Macaca mulatta: one gene and its partner. The protein of the gene in region 1 purifies or fractionates together with the protein of each later gene. This does not show direct contact. Links are inferred from orthologs where the notes say so. Each region holds a gene or a part of one and is shown in the gene's direction. Other genes may lie near its edges.

Evidence for each region.
Region 2: the proteins of XPC (region 1) and CETN3 purify together in Homo sapiens (affinity purification with mass spectrometry; 4 studies listed by BioGRID and IntAct, counting the BioPlex papers as one, with this or other methods). This does not show direct contact. The link is inferred for Macaca mulatta from reciprocal best matches to the Homo sapiens genes XPC and CETN3.

Annotation. Positions count from the first base shown.
Region 1 is NC_133407.1:152,976,765-152,986,657, reverse strand, and holds the start of XPC (DNA repair protein complementing XP-C cells), read left to right. Parts: upstream 1-5,006; 5' UTR 5,007-5,039; coding exon 5,040-5,139; intron 5,140-6,974; coding exon of another isoform or gene 6,975-6,977; intron 6,978-9,214; coding exon of another isoform or gene 9,215-9,217; intron 9,218-9,893. Other genes in the region: U6 snRNA-associated Sm-like protein LSm3, read right to left, coding at 2,052-2,162, 4,730-4,750. UniProt on the Homo sapiens protein: Involved in global genome nucleotide excision repair (GG-NER) by acting as damage sensing and DNA-binding factor component of the XPC complex. Has only a low DNA repair activity by itself which is stimulated by RAD23B and RAD23A.
Region 2 is NC_133411.1:96,785,862-96,794,980, reverse strand, and holds part of CETN3 (centrin-3), read left to right. Parts: 5' UTR 1-64; coding exon 65-81; intron 82-1,907; coding exon 1,908-2,043; intron 2,044-3,950; coding exon 3,951-4,065; intron 4,066-9,119. UniProt on the Homo sapiens protein: Plays a fundamental role in microtubule-organizing center structure and function. As a component of the TREX-2 complex, involved in the export of mRNAs to the cytoplasm through the nuclear pores.

The DNA of each region.
Region 1 (9,893 bases):
CAAAAATAAATTTACTCAAAATCACTTGAAATTATTTTTAAAGTCTCCACCCCACTTGTTATCTAAGGCAGTCACATCATTTATAATATTTAATTATGAAAAACAGCAGATACATCTTCATCATTTATCAGTAGACATCCTTCAAATTCACCTATAACAATGTGACAAGAAAAATACAGTAAAGAAGATAAAATCCTTTGTTTACTGGTAACATGATGGCATTGCAGTCTTCTAAAGGCACACGGTAGACTACATGTTGCAGAGAGAAAGTAAGTAGAGCAACACCCTGCCCATTTCTAACCTATCCAAAACTTAAATGCACCTGTGGGCTCAATCAATAAATGTTGCAGCTAAGATATTCAATCCAAGCTCCAAAGTTCATTCATTTTACTAAAAGGTGCACTTTAAAGCTGGGACTTTGTTCAGAACTCAAGTTTACTTCTAACAACGTGTTACATGGTTCACCTGCTCACATCAAAATAAAAGTCACTTGTCAGCCACGTGGGGAACTGCTTTAAGCAGGGCACGCTAACAAGAGCAAAAATGTATAACTGAGGGGCACAAAACAAACAGAAAGTTGGGGCCATTTAGGATACAGACCATCAAGTTTACACAGGGAACTGAAGAAGCCTCCAAGGGCCACAGACTTAAGTAATTAAGCTCAATTCCATTTGTATTCCCGAAGTTACCACTATTCCTTTCCTGGAGTCTCTCTTCCTTTAAGGCCAACTGTAGATTGTCTCCCTGGGTCCCTATTTCCTTTCCAAGCCCAGAGGTTCTTTATCGTTAGGTTTTGTGGAAGGTGGAACCACAGTACTTAAGAGTGGGGCTCAGGTCAGACAATCTAGATTCAAATTCTAGCTCTCTCTTTACTGGCAAGTGACTGTACCTTTCTGAGCCTGAGCTTCCTACAGTGCAAAGCAGGAATAATTAGTATGTATCATCACAGGGTTGTTATAAAGATTAAATCAGATATCACACACAAAATGCTTAGAATAATAGTAGCTGGTCTATAACTAATGCTCAATAAATGTTAGCTATTTTTAATCACTTTAGGGTAAAGTAGCAACACTAAAAACAACACACTTAGGAAAGCAACAAGTCATTAAGGAGAGGCAAAACCTTGAGGGTACTCTATGAACAAATGGGATTACTTCAAGGGACCAATTCTACAGATATTTTGCAGATATGCACAAATAAATATGTAAAAAAAAATGCTTACTGCAAGTATTTATGTAAGTATTTGTAGCAAGAAATGAAAAAAAAATCGATCACTATCATATACAGAATCCTAGGTAGTCATTAAAAAGAACAAATGAGAATTAAATGCACTAATGATCAATAATCTCGAAGAAAGATTAAGTGAAAAAAAAAAAGGTGCTGAAAAACGTGTATAGCAGGATCCATGTTTTGTAGAGGTAGGGTGTACATAGTGCAAGTATGTGCATATGTACATATATGAATGTATGTGTGTAAACATACAGAAACAGTAACCCAATTTTTAATTTTTTAATTTTTATTTTTTGTAGAGACAGGATCTCTCTATGTTGCCTAGGCGGGCAACACAGAGAACTCCTGGCCTCAAGTGATCCTCCTGCCCCAGCCTCCCAAAGTGCTGAGATTACAGGGATGAGCCACTGCACCCGGCCAAGATAATCCAATTTTTAATAGTGGTTACCAGTAGAGGAAATGGGATTTCACTTTTTACTCTATATATTTTTGTGCTGTTTAACTTTTCATAATAAAACACATATTTGTGTTTTAAGTTTAAAAAACATTTAAGAATGGAGGACAAATAAATGTTATTTACAAATAAACAGAAGGGAAAATGAAGGGAATAAAAATGTTCTATAATAAACATATTTCTATTAAAAGAAAAAATATTAAAAATGTGAATACATGCAGCTTCATCTGGCTTATGGAAACATGGGTGATTTTCCACTACCCTCTCTTCCTTCAAAATACCTTTTCACTCTGGACAGGTTTTACATTTCAAGGGAGTGGGGGTGGGAAGGAATCTGATTTCAAGGTAACTTGATAAATTTACTCACATGTAATCTGCCTCGAAGCTCTCGGTCATTTCTCATCTTCACATAAATTCGCTCATCTAGGCTGAGCCTGATAAGATCCAGGGGCTCCTCTACAGTGTTGGTAGTTTGTTGCTGATAACAGAAACAGGTTTAGTAATATAGTACTAGAGATAAAGTAGTGCTTAAATCACTGCTATGCTGTATGACCATGTGCAAGTTATTTAACCTTTTTCTGCCTCAGTCTCCTAATCTGTAAAATGGAGATAATAGTGTCTACCTAATACTGTTTTTATGAGGCTTAAGTGACATATATGAAGGCTTAGAACAGAACTTTTCACATAGTATGTGCTATATAAATGTAGATTAAAACACGCATACATAAGAAGGAGTTACACAGCAAAATAATCATGACTATACTTTGTTCCCTCAAAATCCAAACTGCCTGACCCGATTTCAGGGTATAGGGTCTTAGGAACTTTAGCTTTATCTCAAATATTATGTAATCATAGGAAAAACACTCACTTAATGCCTACCATATACTAGTCAGAATGCCAAGTAGAGGTGTAGGTTTATGGGAAGATTATGAATTCAGCACAGGTTGAGGTTAGGCTGCCAACTGGCCAGTAAGATGAATATTTAGTAGCCAGAATAGAACACTGGTTCAAAGCACTGGCTTAGCCGGGCATGGTGGCATGTGCCTGTAGTCCCAGCTACTCCGAGGCTGAGGTGGGAGGATTGCCTGAGCCTGGGAGGTGGAGGTTGCAGTGAGCCAAGATGGTGCCAACAAGCAAGCAAGCACTGACTTTGGAGTCAGGCAGTCTGGGTTCAACTCCTGGCTGTGACCTGACACTTATGAACTGAGATTAAAAATCATGCCATCTGTAATTCTCAGATTCTTCATTTGTAATTGAGAAAGCCACAACCTTCCTTCTGGATTCTTATGAGGATGAAACTAGTTAATGCATTTAAAACAGTGCCAGGAAAGCAGAAAATATTAATACTTAGAAACGGTTCCTTTTGGCTGGGCGTGGTGGCTCAGGCCTGAATTCCAGCACTTTGGGAGGCTGAGAAAGGCAGATCACCTGAGGTTAGGAGTTTGAGACCAGCCTGGCCAACATGGTGAACCCCGTCTCTACTAAAAATACAAAAATTAGCCAGGCGTGCTGGCACGTGCCTGTAGTCCCAGCTACTTGGGAGGCTGAGACAGGAGAATCGCTTGAACCAGGAGGCAGAGGTTGCAGTGAACTGAGATCACGCCACTGCACTCCAGCCTGGGCGATAGAGTGAGACTCCATCCAAAAAAAAAAAAAGAAAAGAAAAGATTCCTACTAATATTATATTATTAAAGAACTGCTGGAAACACTGGTTTTAGAGGTCAGGGCTAGGATGACTTGGGGTCACCCACATGGAAGGGAGGGTTGCAGCCATTAAAGAGTTAGATGATTCAAGGAGAGCTTCTTTAGTAAGTACACAAGGCCAGTGGAGGAAGGTAACTGAATTCGTAACAGGCGCTAAAGATTCAAAAGGCCCGATGAGAGAAAAAAAAATAACCTAACTCAACTGGTCCCTATGTCCCTCAGTTCAACAGGTGTTTGTTAAAGGATCAGATAACCAACTGTTAGATTACAATGATACAGAAGTCACAATCTCCACCCTCAAGGAGCTCATTCTAATGTGGATAGGCATATGAATAATTATAATACTGTAAGAATATGCACATGACAGAGCTCTACTGCTACCTAAGCCTCTGTCTGGGATGCCCACTTTCTGTTCTTTTTCATCCTGTAGCTTTATACATTGGCTTTTAAAAGAGGCCTCCTCTGATCATCTAACTCATTCACTCAAATATTTGTTGAGTATTTCCAGCACTGTTCTAAACCCCAAGGACAAAAGAATGAACAAAACAAAATGCCTACTGTTATGGCACTTACATTCTAGTCAGGAGAGATACACATTAAACAAAGATGCATACATTTAATATGAAAAAATAACGTTCTATGAAGAAAAATGAGGCAGGGTAAGCAGAGTAGGGGGAGTGCTATTTGGGCAGAAGTCCTCTCTGAGGAGGTGAGATTTCAGTAGAAAGTTTAAGTTGTAGCATGATCTCCAAAGATATTTGAGGAAGAAAAAGACCAGGTGAAAAAGCTTCTAGGACCATCTGTTATTCTGCATACCAGTTCCTTGTTTCCTTCATAGCACATCACAGTTCCTATAAATCTTACATATTTATATTTATCTGTTCTCCTCGCGAATATAAGCTCCAAGTCATGGCAAGGATCACTTATATATCGATGTCAGTGTCCCTGGCTCTTAGAACAGTGTCTAACCATACAAAGCTGATGTTCACTCTCTCTGCTGAATGAGTAAATAATTGTTGTGCTCAGTAATAACAACTCCTAACTTTATTATCTGGCTTTCTATTGGAATCCTGACAGCTCCGTGAGGTAGGCACGCATAATAATTTACAGATTTAAAAAAACAAAGCGAAGAGTGTGATGAATAGTCATCAGGTGGCCTTCTAACGGAAAAGACCTCAGGGCCTGCAGCAAAATTCGGACAGGGGTGTTTACGGAAAGGATGGGGCGGATTAGGCCGTGTGACTTGGAAAGAAGAGGCGCGACTGGCCATTTTTCCTGCGTTTGGAAAAAGCAGTTTAGTACAAGAAGCGGCGCCGAGCCACCGCCTTAAAATTCACTCACCTGGTCTACGTCGTCCGCCATGTTTCAAACCCTGCGCCCTTTCCCGCCTCTCGCGAGAACACAAGAGCAACGCCGAGCTCCGGAAACGTGATGCTACAATACACCGGAAATAGAAACCTGCTGTGCTCTTGCCTGCTTCCCGCGGTTTTTTAGTGGCCACGGGTATGGGGCGGAGCTTCCTTTGGGGGCGTGACTAGGCCTCCAACGAAGGGGCGTGGCCAGACGCGCCCGCCTCGGGGCGGGGCCTGCGTTCTAACGCATCGCGGCCTGGTGCGTCACTCGCGAAGTGGATTTTTCCCCGACAAGCAATATGGCTCGGAAGCGCGCGGCCGGCGGGGAGCCGCGGGGACGCGAAACGCGCAGCCAGAAGTCCAAGGCCAAGAGCAAGACCCGGCGTGAGGAGGAGGAGGGTGAGAGCGTGGCCCAGCGGGCTTCGCGGGAGACTCTGCCGGTGGGCGGAGGAGGCCCAGAGGCAGGGGCGGCGGGAGTCCAGACGCGGAGGCCGGGAGGAGGTTGCTGCGCGCGTTCCGCGCAGTGGGGGCAGCACGGCAGGCCGCGGCCGGCCCTCCCCGCTGTCCCTGCGCCTTTGTCCTCTGCACCCAGAGCGGCTTCCCGTGAGCCTCGCCCGACCCAAGCTCCTGCGTAGCTTCTTTCCCGCTCCCCGTTGTCCAGAGGATACAGCGCAGATGTTCAGGGTTGAACGCGGAGAAGGCAGTTATTTGTGTCCCAGGAAAACGGACGGACGGACCAGGACGTAGAGTGATGCAGTGTGCTGACTCCCGAATGATAACTTCAGCTGAGTCTCGCCCAGAGTTCCACAGTGGGATCCCACCTGACTTCCCCTCGTGGATATTGGATAGGCTTCTTACATTTGTCGTGGACAGTGCAGAGCTCATGGTCTTCCCCTTCAAATCTATGCTTTCCTCCGTTTTTCCAGTCCCAATACTTGTTATAAAACAAAGTCCACCTTTTTCTTATGTGCACACATCCAGTCCCGTCAGCAAGTCCAGTCAGTTCAGCCTCAGACTGTATTTCAAATTTGTCCACTTCTCTTCATTTCCATGGCCACAACCCCTGTCCAAGTCACCATCACCTTTCAGTTGAGTGACTGCAGTTTCCTCTTGACTGGCCTCCCAGCTCTGCATCCAGCAACGCAAATAATCTTTAAAAAAAAAAAAAAAAATCATGCCATGCTCCTGCTTTAAACTCTCCTTGGTTTTCCATTGCTCTTAGTTTAAAATCCAGTTGTCTTATCCTGGCCTGCAAGATGCTACGTGTTTTGGCTCTTGCTACCTCTCCTGTTTCTCCTACCACTTGTTTCCTTGCCAGATACCCTCCTCATTGGCCTCCTTTCTCTTCCTCAAATATGCCAAGTTATTTCTTGAGCCTTTTCCTTTGATATTCCTTCGGCCTAGAGTGACCCCCCACCATGGCTTTTGCCAGGTATGATTTCTTCAAATCTCAAGTCAGACATTCCTTGAGCAAACTAAGGTAGTCCTTCCCAGATACCCCGTGGATACTAAAACCTGTGATGCTCAAGTACCTTGTATCAAATGGCCTAGTGTTTCCATGTAACCTATGCGCATACTCCGACATACTTTAAATCATCTCTAGATCACTTGTAATATCTAATACAATGTAGATGCTATGGAAATAGTTGTCATACTATAGTTTTAAAATTTGTGGGTTTTATTTTTCCCGAAATATATTCATCTGTGGTTGGTTGAATCTGTGGATGCGGGGCCCGTCGATTGGTAGGGCTAAGTGCTAAATAAATATTTTTTATTTTTTATTTTTTTCGAGATGGAGTCTCACTCTGTCGCTGAGGCTGGAGTGCAATGGCATGACCTCTGCCTCCCAGGTTCAAGCGATTCTCCTGCCTCAGCCTCCTGAGTAGCTGGTATTACAGGTGACTGCCACCATGCCCGGCTAATTTTTGTATTTTAGGAGAGATGGGGTTTCGCCATGTTGGCCAGTCTGGTCTCTAACTCCTGACCTCAGGTGATCCATTCGCCTCGGCCTGCCAAAGTGCTGGGATTATAGGCATGAGCCACTGTGCCTGGCCAATAAATATTTTAAATAATTGCAAAATGCAGGCTGTAGAAGGAATTTCTGGGTCTCCTGAAATAACTGGGTAGATTAGGTAACCAGCAAAGGCTATCACACTCGATTCTGTGTTTCTATACCGATTATAAGTTCATCATCCATTAGAAAATAGTCAAATGGTAATAATTCCTAAACTTAGAAGGTGATTTACCTCATATGTAGTATTTCGGGTTCCATTTTATTCATTTACTCGTTCATTCAAAAAACATATTTTGAGTACTATGTGCTGCACATGAATGAGGTGACATGGGAGATAAGCGTATCTTGGAGGATCATAGAGTAGTGTTGACATGACATTTGCATGTAAGACATGCAAGGCAGAGTGTGCTAAATACTGTGGAAGAAGGTACAAGGCTTTGTAGCTTCCAAAGGATTAATCAAGTTTGACTAGCATGATCGGGGAACGCTTTCTGAAGTTGTTTGATCTGTGATTTAAAGGATGGTTGCTATTTTAGCAAGGGGTCACAAAAAAGGGGCTGGTATTCTAGTCAGAATGTAATTTGCATATATGGCAATTAAAAATTGTTGTAATCTGATGGAAATGCTACCTGCATTCCTCCCAGCTCAACACTTCACCTGGGTTCCAGCTTGGTAGAGCTTCAATTCTTAGTTATATGCACTTGGGTGAATTATTTTGGACAAGTATTTTAGCCCTTCTAAACTTCTTCTATGAACTATAATAACTGCCTTGCAGGGTGGCTGTAAGTTTTCAGTGGGATAGCATATAAAGCCAAGAGCTTTAGCTTTACCCATGTTAGGTAATTAGTTGGGCTAGCTGGTGTCATTCAGCCTAAATGGAGGTAAGGATGCACCCAAGTTTACTCTGCTAGCCAGAGGAGGTAGCAGTCAGTTCCCAAGGCAGCTTCCAATCTGCAGAGTTACAACTTTTGTTGTGGTTTGGTGGTTTGTTGGGGAAGCATAGACTTAGCAAGTGTGGTTTGGGCTGCAGGTGACAATAATTTGGTGACTGTCAGTGTAGTTTCTAACACTGTAATAGTGTAGGTTTTAACAGCACCCCTGTACATGCAAATGAAGGTGATACTTGGCTGCTTTCGACAAATAGGAAAAAAGAAAACAGGCTTCCACATGATTTCCTTTGTGTTACTAAAGCACCTCTGGTTTCTTTGCATTTCTTCTCTATGTTAACACCTTCGGTGATAATCCGTTAACTCCTTCAACAGCTGTTTATTGAGCGCCTACTATTTTCAGGCACTGTTCCAGGTACTAGGATAATAGTGGTGAACAAGACAGGTGAGGCACCTGCTCTCATGATTATAATCTGTGGGGAGGGGTAAGTAGAACAGATAACAAGTTAAAAAAAAAACAGATTCACATAATGGTAAGAGCTATCACCCTGTGTTAAGACTGCTGTGATAAAACTTACTTGGGTACATAGCAGAAAATGCTTCTATAGATGGGGGAAAAAAAAACCCTCAAATTTAAATGGGGCTGGGAAGGGGCAGCTAAATGGGAATCAGTGTCAGGGAAGGCCTTTGTAAGGAGATGGCATTTTGAGGCAGTTAGTGTAATTTTGAGCCATTCATAGGAAGTTCTGGGGAAAAGAGTTCTAGGCAGAGAGGACAGTGTTTAAACACTCTTAGGAGGGAATGAACTTGGCCAGTTGGCTGGACACAGTGAGTGAGGGGCTGGGTAGGAGAAGTGGGCAGGGGCCTGAGCTTGGATACCAAGCTAAGGAGTTGGAATTTTATTCTGAGTGCTGTGAGTTGCTGCTAGAAGGTTTACTCTGGTGTTCTTATTACATCCCAGTAGATGGGCAAGCAGACCACAGTGGTAATTCCTGCCCTACTGAAAGAACGCTGAGCTCGAGGAGGCTGGTTAGGCATATTAGATCACTCAAGATTTTGGAGAGTCCTGGAAAAGAGTCTCTAGGTGCTTAGGGACCAAAGAATAGCAAAGAATAGAAAGTCACCCATATTTCTGCCATCCAGAAATAGCCACCATGAAATAATGGTCTGTTTCCTTCTAGTCTGTTTTTTACATAGCAGAAAGCATGCTGTAAAATCAACTTTGCATGATTAACATTACATCATCTATCGTTTTTCTTTATCTTAAAGGATGACTCAATTATATTTTGTTGTGTGGCTCTGCCCTAAGTTACTTAACAATTATCTCGTGGTTGTATGTTCAGATTATTGTTAGATGCTTTTGAATACTATGAACATCCTTTTGATTCAGAGTTTTGTGTTTCCTTTTTCCCCCCTTTCCTTTTTAACTCCTCTACCTTTCTCTTCAAACACAGAAATAAAAGCTATGCTTTTTAACCAACCAGAAAAGTTTGTGATGCCTCTGAAGTATCCTCCTACCTGCATTTTTTTTAGATTAGTAGAAAGTGAAGTATTTTGCATCTTTGCCTATTAGAGGGCTAAATACCATTGTAAGATCCAGAAATCTTAATTTTAGGGCACCCTCCTCAAACTGTCAAATCTTAAGCTTTATGCAGCCTCTGGCCTTGGAATCGGCAGTTTGTTCTCAGATTTGAAAAAATTAATTTTGAAATACTTTGCACTTCAAAATTTTTCCTTATTTTTTGGTTTCCACTAAAATGTTTAAAAATGGGAATACATAAATTCCTTTTTCATAAAACATTTAAAGAAACAACGGAATCAGTGATTTATCTAGCATTAAAAGAAATGCTCCTTTGATATGAATTTTATTAACATTTAATAATGATTTCATCTAGATCAGAGGGAGAGTCTTTTTTCCCTCATGCAAAAATTTATATTCTTGTGGAATATAAATACCTATCCAGAGAGTCAGCAAGGCAAACAATGAAAAGACTGAATTATTAAATAATTTTATATTTTAGGTTAACGTTGCAATCCCTTATGGAACCTCAATAAAAAGTATTTTTATTTTCTAAAATTAATTGAAGCAGAGTCATGCAAAGACAAAAGAGGATTTATTTCGGATTCAAGATCATTTGTGTGAATATATTTGCAAAATAGAAAACTATCCTTCCCTGCCATATTGTTATTTATTAAAACTAATCTATTAATATAATTATTATATGTAAATAAACCATAATTTTAGATACCCC
Region 2 (9,119 bases), on another chromosome or scaffold:
CTTGCTGCTTTGGGTAGGGGGTTAAAATCGTTTCTTGAGAGGAACGACTCTGTCCGAAGAGATAATGAGTTTAGCTCTGAGGTCGGTAATAAGGAGGCGGCAGTGCTCTCCACACCCCGGAGCGGGACCTAGGGAGGGTGTGTGTGGAAGGGAGGCCGTTTGGGGCCGTGGCGAGGCAGGGGATGCTGTTTGGGATGCGGGAAAGGAGCCTAGGGCAGCCTGTCTGGATCACTCACCCTCTGGGCTCTGGTGCCCTGCAGGGAACGAGACTTCCAGTGCATTTCTACTAAGGAGGTTATTTCTGTCAGCGCGTAGGGCTTTCGACTACCAAAAAAATGGGCTTAGTTGCGAGCGAGGGGGAGGGAATGAAATATCGCGAGGCTTCTACTCTGTTGCTCTGAGAGATCAGGCCGCGGAACATCCCTTCATTCAATTCGTATGCCTGGCCAGGGCCCCACCTCCGCTGCTCTGCTGCTGATGCAATCATCCACCTATAAATTTTGGAAATAACAAAAAACTCTTTGCTATTCTCCCAAGGTCCTGCTTTACGGTGTAATTAGAAACCCATTTTAGTGACTAATTGGCAAACTGTCTCTTGGATTTCCTGTTTCTTTCATTTCTTTACCTTTCAGTTCTAACCTCTAACCCTCTGTCTGTTACCCGCTCCCCCTACGTAGACGTTGTACCGTAAAACTATACATATACTTAGGACACTCTAAAAATGTTCCATGTTCTGCTAAGGGATAATCATGGTACCCTTGGATGGGGTCAGGGGTGGGTCGGTTCTGGACTTGGCCTCTAAAAGTCTCAGGAAGGAAAAGACTGACCCCAGGAATACCCAAGTTTGTGTCAAGTCAGGTCTCATGAAAGGAAGATCTTCCTCAGCTTTGTCATACTGCATCTACTGGTCACTTCCTAGCCTTTTTTTTTTTTTTTTTTTTTGTAGCGTTCAGAGACCAAAACGACTTTCAAATGCAGCTAGATACGTGTTTTAAATACAGTCAACTGGTTTTGACATGTTAATGTGTTACCAGATTGTGTGTTTCAAAACTTGTTCTTATACCAGTGTTGCGGCTCCATTGGAAAACTTGGAGCACATTTAGATGGGCAGCTCTTACGGAAAACATTTCTGGCTTTAAAGTAATTTTTGCTTTTTTCTTTAAGCGTTTCCAGAGTTTATGAGAAGTTTAACCTCCAGTTTACATCTTAAGTGAGACAAGACTTATGAAGCACAAATATTGTATACTTTTTTGACATCTAATATTTGTCATATGTTTAGACTCATTAATATTTTGGGTGATTTGTTAATATCAGTGGAGGAAATGACACATAAATTGCCAAACTGTTAGAAACGTGTAATCTAAAAACATTTTGAACCAACAGTCCCAAAATATAAGTTAATCCAGTTGTATTTTTTGTAGTAATTTTATGAACTTAATTATCAGAACTATCAAAAGTAAACCGATATATGGTGATTGTCAGTTACGAATTTTGGTTTCATTTGGAGATTTTTTGGTTTCTTTAACATTCTTGTAGAATAATGTGAGTGTTTTTGTTTTTTTTTGGTTGGAGTTGGTTGGAGTTTCAGACATAAAAGTAATGTTGCTTATTCACAGTTCTTGAATAAATAAAAAGTTAGGGAAAGTGGGAATAAATAAAAAGCTGGGAAAAGGAAAAGTTTGGTCCTCATTTCTTTTAATAATCTGTAACACTCTTTAGTTTTGGGAAGTTCATATTTATAGCAATTTAGACTATGGAATAAACAGGGCATTGACTCATAAAGGGAAAGTTTCCCTGTCTTTCTCCAAAGTACTTTCTTTTTTGAAATTTAGAAAATAATTATTGGCTAATTTCTGTTAGTAAAGAGAATTAAAGTGGACTAAGGGCTTTTTCTTTCCATTTCATAGAAGTGAGCTTGTAGTAGACAAAACAAAGAGGAAAAAAAGAAGAGAACTGTCTGAGGAACAGAAACAAGAAATTAAAGATGCTTTTGAACTATTTGATACAGACAAAGATGAAGCAATAGATTATCATGAATTAAAGGTAATGGTATACTTTAAAATACTTGTTTCTGTGTTAAAATGATTTGCATTTTGACAGTTGCTTTACATTACATTTCTAAGTAATTATTTTAACTAAATTGGTTTTGGAACTATGAAGGCATTTTAAGCATTCATAGTTAGATTCTATAATAATACTGAATAGAACTCCTAACACAGTTTTTAGAAAATCTTTTTCACGTGATAAAACGAATAGCATTTTAAATGTAACAATACATTCCTAGGGAAGGTGCTTATTTTTCACTGACATAATTAAAGGATTTCAAACTGGAATTTAAACTATTACCATATTCTTTTCACTGTTTTTTTTGTTTTTGTTTTTGTTTCTTGGTGACTCATACTGTTTTCAGATTGTGGGATTGTTGTCTTTTAATCTTATAATTTGTATTTGTTAGTAACATAGTCTCAATCCACTTTCTGTGGTACAAACAACTTCAGTGCTGTTTGATGTTGACACATGCTTGTAGGTAAAAATGTCAACTTTAAGACCTAGAATGTCAAGGTGTAGAGAGGGATTTGTAAATTATTATTTGTCAGGGTATAAGGAGAGATTTGGGTTTAGGGTAGAATGGGACTTACTTTCAGCACAGTGGGAAAGATAGTATTTTGAGATTTTTAATAGCCTTAATGGATAGGTGAATGTAAGTGTTTATTTGATAGTTTTAATTTTTGTAATTTCTTAAGGGATTTTTAAGCATTAGAATTCCAAGTAGGGATACGAACTATGCAGTAACAGTATAGAATGTATAAAAACAATTAATAGGCCTGTAAGTCTAGCTTTCTCAATCTTGCAGTCCTCTTTAGCTCTCTTTTCCCACTGTTTTTTGTTTTTGTTTTTTGGTTTTGGTTACCCAGATTTGATCAATTCTTCCTTTATAGTGTCTCTTCCATTAGTAACCATTGACTGGTTTCAGACCTTATTTCATACCTGGAGCTTCCTAAATGGTTTGTCTACTTGTAGTTCACCTTGTATACTACTACCACTGAATTTAGATAGTTTAAAAAATCTTTCACCATTGCTTATAAATTGTTCGTTGCTCATAAGCCTTTACTATTAATAACTCCTCATTATATACTACTTAAAGTTCAGATTCCTTTGCTTTCTACTGAATGTTCTCTACACTTTTGCCACCAACTACTTTTTTCATTTGCTAACTGCTTTCTTCCTCCCAAACTCTTCTAATTCACGTGGAATTCACCTTCTAATCCAGGTGAGCAGTTTATCTCACCTGAACTCTTCTAATTCAGGTGAGGTAAACTGCTCTGTTCGTTGTCCTTCAAACCTATTGTTCATTTCAGTGTTTCTTTTAATACTAGTCATCCTTCCCAAATGCCCTACTGCTCCTCTTCATCTGTCCTTCAAGGAACAACTTGAATCTTTCCAAATAAGACTTATCTAGTCAGTAACATGTTTCCTTCCTTGTTACTAGTAACAAAGTCTCTTTTTTGTCTAAACTCAGGGTCCTTCGCCCTATTATTAACCTAATAACTAATCATGGAGATACTGATGATAATTCTTATTTTAATGTTTTATCTCTTCTATCATATAACTTTAATATTTATGCTATGCCTTTTTCTCATTTTGGTTGTTAATCCCGTGATAACAAATAGCAGTCAAATTATCTGTGCAGTAAGTTAGTGCATTTTATATAGTAAACACTTGTTGGTTACTTTGTCATATAAAAATGCAATTTATAAATGAAAAAACTTATACATAATTTCAGTAGTGAAGAACAATTACACTGTCACTGCTATTTTAAAGAGGTAAAACATGCAAAAAAGTTATATTTTACTAATGTGTTTTTATCTCTTAAGATGTAAAAACTTAATAATTAGAAATTCTTTTGTAAAGATTGCTTTATAATTTGCTTTTCCCTTTTAATCCAAAAGGTGGCAATGAGAGCCTTGGGGTTTGATGTAAAAAAAGCTGATGTACTGAAGATTCTTAAAGATTATGACAGAGAAGCCACAGGGAAAATCACCTTTGAAGATTTTAATGAAGTTGGTGTGTATTTTAATAGTCTTTGTAATCAGCAGCTGTTAGGAAATTGTCTGATTAATATGACTTTTTAAATTTTAAATTCTCTAGGTTATGGAATTTTCTTATAGAACACTGGTGTATAATGTGACTCTTACTCAGTTTTGTTTGGGTTATTTTACTTTTTTCATTTTCAAAGAAAAAATATGGCTTTGCTCTGAGATTTATAGTTTTGTCTTTTGTTTTGTTGTGAAGATTCTAGCCAAGGAACTACTGTGTAGCTTTTTATGGAAAGATGCTTTTCCAAGTTATTTGTATTTATATTATGTGATAAAACTTGAAGGGTGATCAAAAAATTATTTTTGCTCAGTAAAACAGAAAATTTGATATCCTGCTGTTTGGAAAATGTTTCCCAAGACCTTTCTGGTATGTGATTTTTGCTGGCTAAGTGGGAGAAGAGGGAACTGGTAGTAGTTGGTATCTTTGGCCGTAGATGAAATGCGTGACTTCAGGTTGACAAAGTTTATGAGAGGCTACATCCTCTGGATGACCTTGATCTTAGTGGATAAAGTCATCTGTTTAGAGGGTAGTAGTAAAGGAGGCAGTGGGCATACTGCAAGCAGGAGAAAACATCCTGGTACCACCAACTGAAGATAATATGTCATAGGCTTAATATGGCTAAATTTTTGTGTAGTTGATTTTAGTGAATTATTTATAGCATACATAGAGCAGGCTTTTTCAAAATAGAAGAGTCTGGAAGGCAAGGGCGTTACTATTGTCTAGGATATTACCTACAAAATATATAAATATTCAGGTTTATTTCTATTTTTTTCCCCCTAAACCAATGGGTCACGATATAAGCACATCATATAAGTATTTTAAGATATTTGGAAACAAATTCTGTTATATACACAAACCCCTTCTTTTAAATATTCATCAAGAAGCAATATGGGAAGCAAAAAGAAATGGCAATTAGTATACGCAGAGAAAATTTAGATTCATGTCATTAGTTTTTTGAATCCAAACGCTCAAGTCAAAAGCAGTTGAGATGGAAAATAAATGATAAACCTAAGAGAAAAAATACAGCACAGAAGATACTCAACTTACGAACTAATATATGACTGTTTAGAGAGGCAACTTGTCTGTTGGGGACATTTTCCTTTTTTCCTCTAATTTGTAGAATTTTTTATTTGAGGAGAAGGAGAGAGCCACCTTTTGTTCTCCCAGAATGGACACTCTCCTGAAGTTTATAATCGTAGTATTCCTAGTTTTACCTTAGATTGTTTATTTGTAGAAACAAGATGTTAGGATACAGTGGAAATGATACTATTAGGAAGGAGCTATAATCCAGGTATGTTTAGTACAGTATAGTGGTTTAGCACTTGGAACCAGATTCTGTTGGTTCATACCTTGGTTTTGCCACTTTATAGCTCTGGAACTTGGTCTTTTTAATACCCTGTGCCTCATTTTCAACTATAAGGTGGGGATCATTGTACTCTCTCATGAGATTCTTCTGAGGATTAAGTTAATAACATGTAAAGTACCTAGAAAAGGGCCTAGCATGTTGTAAGTGCTACTAAGCATTTGTTATTATTATTACTTTAAAAAATTGTCTCTGTTTCAGGGGCTCAAAATAATCATATATGCATCACTGGGACATAAAATAGACTCTGTGTATACTTTTTATTGACTTTTTTTCATAAAGGCTATTGTAAACACTATATCATCACTAATAATTTTACAAAATATTTTATTTCATCTTAAATGAATACAATTTTGAAATTGTGATTTTTTATTGGCAGTTGGGACCAGAATCCCATGCCACCTCCACTTTTTCCTGATGCCCTATCTGTTCTATGTTATTAACAGAGCAGAAATACTGGGTTCCTTTAGAATAAATAGATGTGGCTAAACTTCAGCTTTGACACTCAAAGATTAACCTTTTGACAGGGTCAACACCTATCTTAGCTATCTTAAGGCTACCTATGGAGAGTACCAGGTGTAAAATAAAAATTTATTACTGTTTGGGAATCAGTCAAGAACTATGTATTTCCCCTTTTGTTGATTATTTTTAACTAATCACTGACCACAGATTAATATGTTTTGTACTTTGGGACAAATGATTCTAAATCTTAACATTTGAGTCCTAGTTTTATGAACTACTCAAGGATACTGTTCCACAGATATATCTGGATGAAGTTTGGCAGTTAACTATTATAGATTCTTCCTAGTACTGGAAAAAAGCTTTAAAATATATTTAATGTAAGTTTAGAGTCAAGACAACCTGAGGCTAGTGAGTAACATAGATGTTTTAGGAATTCTGTCTTTAACACCAACATAAGTCAAACGTTTGTACACTATTTTTGACATATACTACTTATTGCTGATTCAGATTATAATAGTGTATTATTGTCTTCATTTTGCTTATTTAACACTGAATTTTTTGGTATTAGGTACTGTACTGGGGTTGGGAAGAAGACGTAATTAAAAGTTACTAAGAGGTTCTTCTTTCAGGGAGTTTACAGTGTACATATAGGTGACAACAGGCTATAGTACTATGTGGTAAATTGTAATTTTGTCTAGGACAGAAGTCAGCAATTATAGCCTTTGGACCAAATTCAGCTGCTGCTTGTACACCACCACACCCATTCTTTTATGCAGCTTTTGTGCTGCTATGGCAGAGTGAGTAGAGACTTTATGCCCCTCTACAAAGCCTAAAGTATTTACTGTCTGGCCTTTTACAGGAAAGATTTGTTAATCCCTGATATAGAGGAATTGAAGACTTTGCAGAGGAGATTTTAAATTTAGGCCTTTGGAAACGTGAGGAGGATTTCATTCCAAGATTGCCAGGAAGAGTAGAGAAAAAGCATTCTAGGCTTAGAAAGCAGCAACAACAAAGAATGGTACTAGAAGCATAGCATGTTTGGGAAACTAGATAGTGTTCTGGGCTAGACGATAGGGAAATAGCTGGAAGTGTAGGATTGGGCCAGACTGGTAAAGTCTTGCGAAACTTAAAAGATTTTGAATTTTAGTTAGCAGAGGATCATTCACAATTTTTAAGGGAAGAGGATATGATATATTTGAGAAAGAAAACTGATGAGAGTATTATTGATGATGCATTGGAAGGAAGAGAGACTGCAGACAGAAAATACTATTTTTTATGCTGAGGATGGCGAGCGTGAAAAGAAAATACATTTAAGAATAAAAAAGAGGCTAGGCTTGGTGGCTCATGCCTGTAATCCCAGCACTTTGGGAGGTCAGGGCGGGAGGATTGCTTGCTCACAGGAGTTTGAGACCAGCCGGGGCAACAAAGTGAGATCCTGTCTCTACAAAAAAAAAAAAAAAAAATTAGCCAGATGTGATGGCACATGCCTGTAGTCCCAGCTGCTTTGGAGGCTGAGGTGGAAAAATTGCTTGAGCCCAGGAGTTGAGGCTGCAGTAAGCTGGGATCATGCCATTGCACTCCAGCCTGGGCAACAGAGCGAGACCTTGTTTCAAAACAATAAAAATAAAAAAAATAGTATTCTCAGTACTATAGGACCTGATTAAGTTTATGGGACTGAAAATGATTTATACTTTTCACATACGGAATCTGGCTGTAAATGTTGCTGTTGTCTTTTGGTGGGGGTAGAGGAGGCAGCTACAGTTACTGTGGTGGTAGTGGAATGAGTTTGGAGTCCAACATGTCTCACTGGTGTGTTTGGATAGAAATTTCCAAAAGACATTGAGAAATACAGTTAAAGCTGTATTTCTAGCATTACCTACAATGATTTTTAATTTACTTTTGATGTGATGTTTTTGGATTTGCTGTATTCTTAAGTGATTTTTACACATGAAAGGTCTAAGAAAGTGTTTTGAAGAAGTACATTTCTGATAGTATGTGTAATTAAATCATTTGAAAATACAGTTACATGGACAGAAATTTGGAGTTTTGTGAAATAAATGAAACCCACCTTAACTGCCTCTATATCAGTTTACTAATATTTTCATTGAAAATAAATATATTTCTTGTAATTAAATTCTACTTTGTGGAACAAGAATAGAACATGAAGGCATGGAGGAGAATCATTATAAAGTTATATATTAGGTAATGTTTTTGCTGTCCAAAATGATGAGCATTTATAATTCCCAAGAAAAGCTGCATTTTAAGGAAGAATATTGATAAAAGAATATATAGACACATAGCTCTGAAATAACTAACACAATTAAAGTACCAGTGGGATAAGAATTTATACATCTTGGAGCCCCATCTGTTCCCCAATCACCCTGTTGCTTCTTTAAGTACATTAATACTTTCAGCAAGCTGCTTTTTTGGTTCACCTGTCATGTAAATTATTTAATTGGTGAAGAAAATTTCTTAACACTTTTTTTCCTTGTCCTGCTTTTTTGTTGGGACTAAATTCAAAATAAGTTGAGTATGTGCCATAGAGTTAAGTGTGGTATTTTATTTTGGTGTTATGGCTGTAGATATGCCAGCTCCTTTTTGACTGAATATTTATGAGCTTTGATGATTTGCATACTTACAGTAATATACTTCAATTAGTTACTTGGCAGCCTTTTTGGATAAAATTAATGGATAAAAGGAAACTATTGAAAATATGTGTAGATGATATAATAGTCATTTGAATAGGTGATTATTGAACCTAATATAGGTGAAACAGCTACAAAACAATAACTTGTTGGAGATTTTGATTGTATTTTTTTCATTCTGGGTTCTTTAAACATTCCAGTATTTTCCATCTATAAGCAGTTTTTTGTTTTTTTTTTTTTAATGATTCTGTAACCTTTAACAGGACCGAGTTATTTTTAATAGCATAGTAAAGGCCATAAATACCTTTTCTTGTAGTGGCAGGTAGTGTATATAATTACTTCAGAGATATTTATTTAGATATTGTTAGAATTTTATTTAGTAACTTAACAATTTTTATGCCACAGATTTTTATTTTAATTTTTATTGTGGCTATTGATTGAAGACTGGTAAAATTGAAAATACTTAAGCTTATTACTATGTTGTTATATATGATTATATTTAGTGTATTAAAATACACAATTACCATTGAGGTTTGAAACTACATTTATTT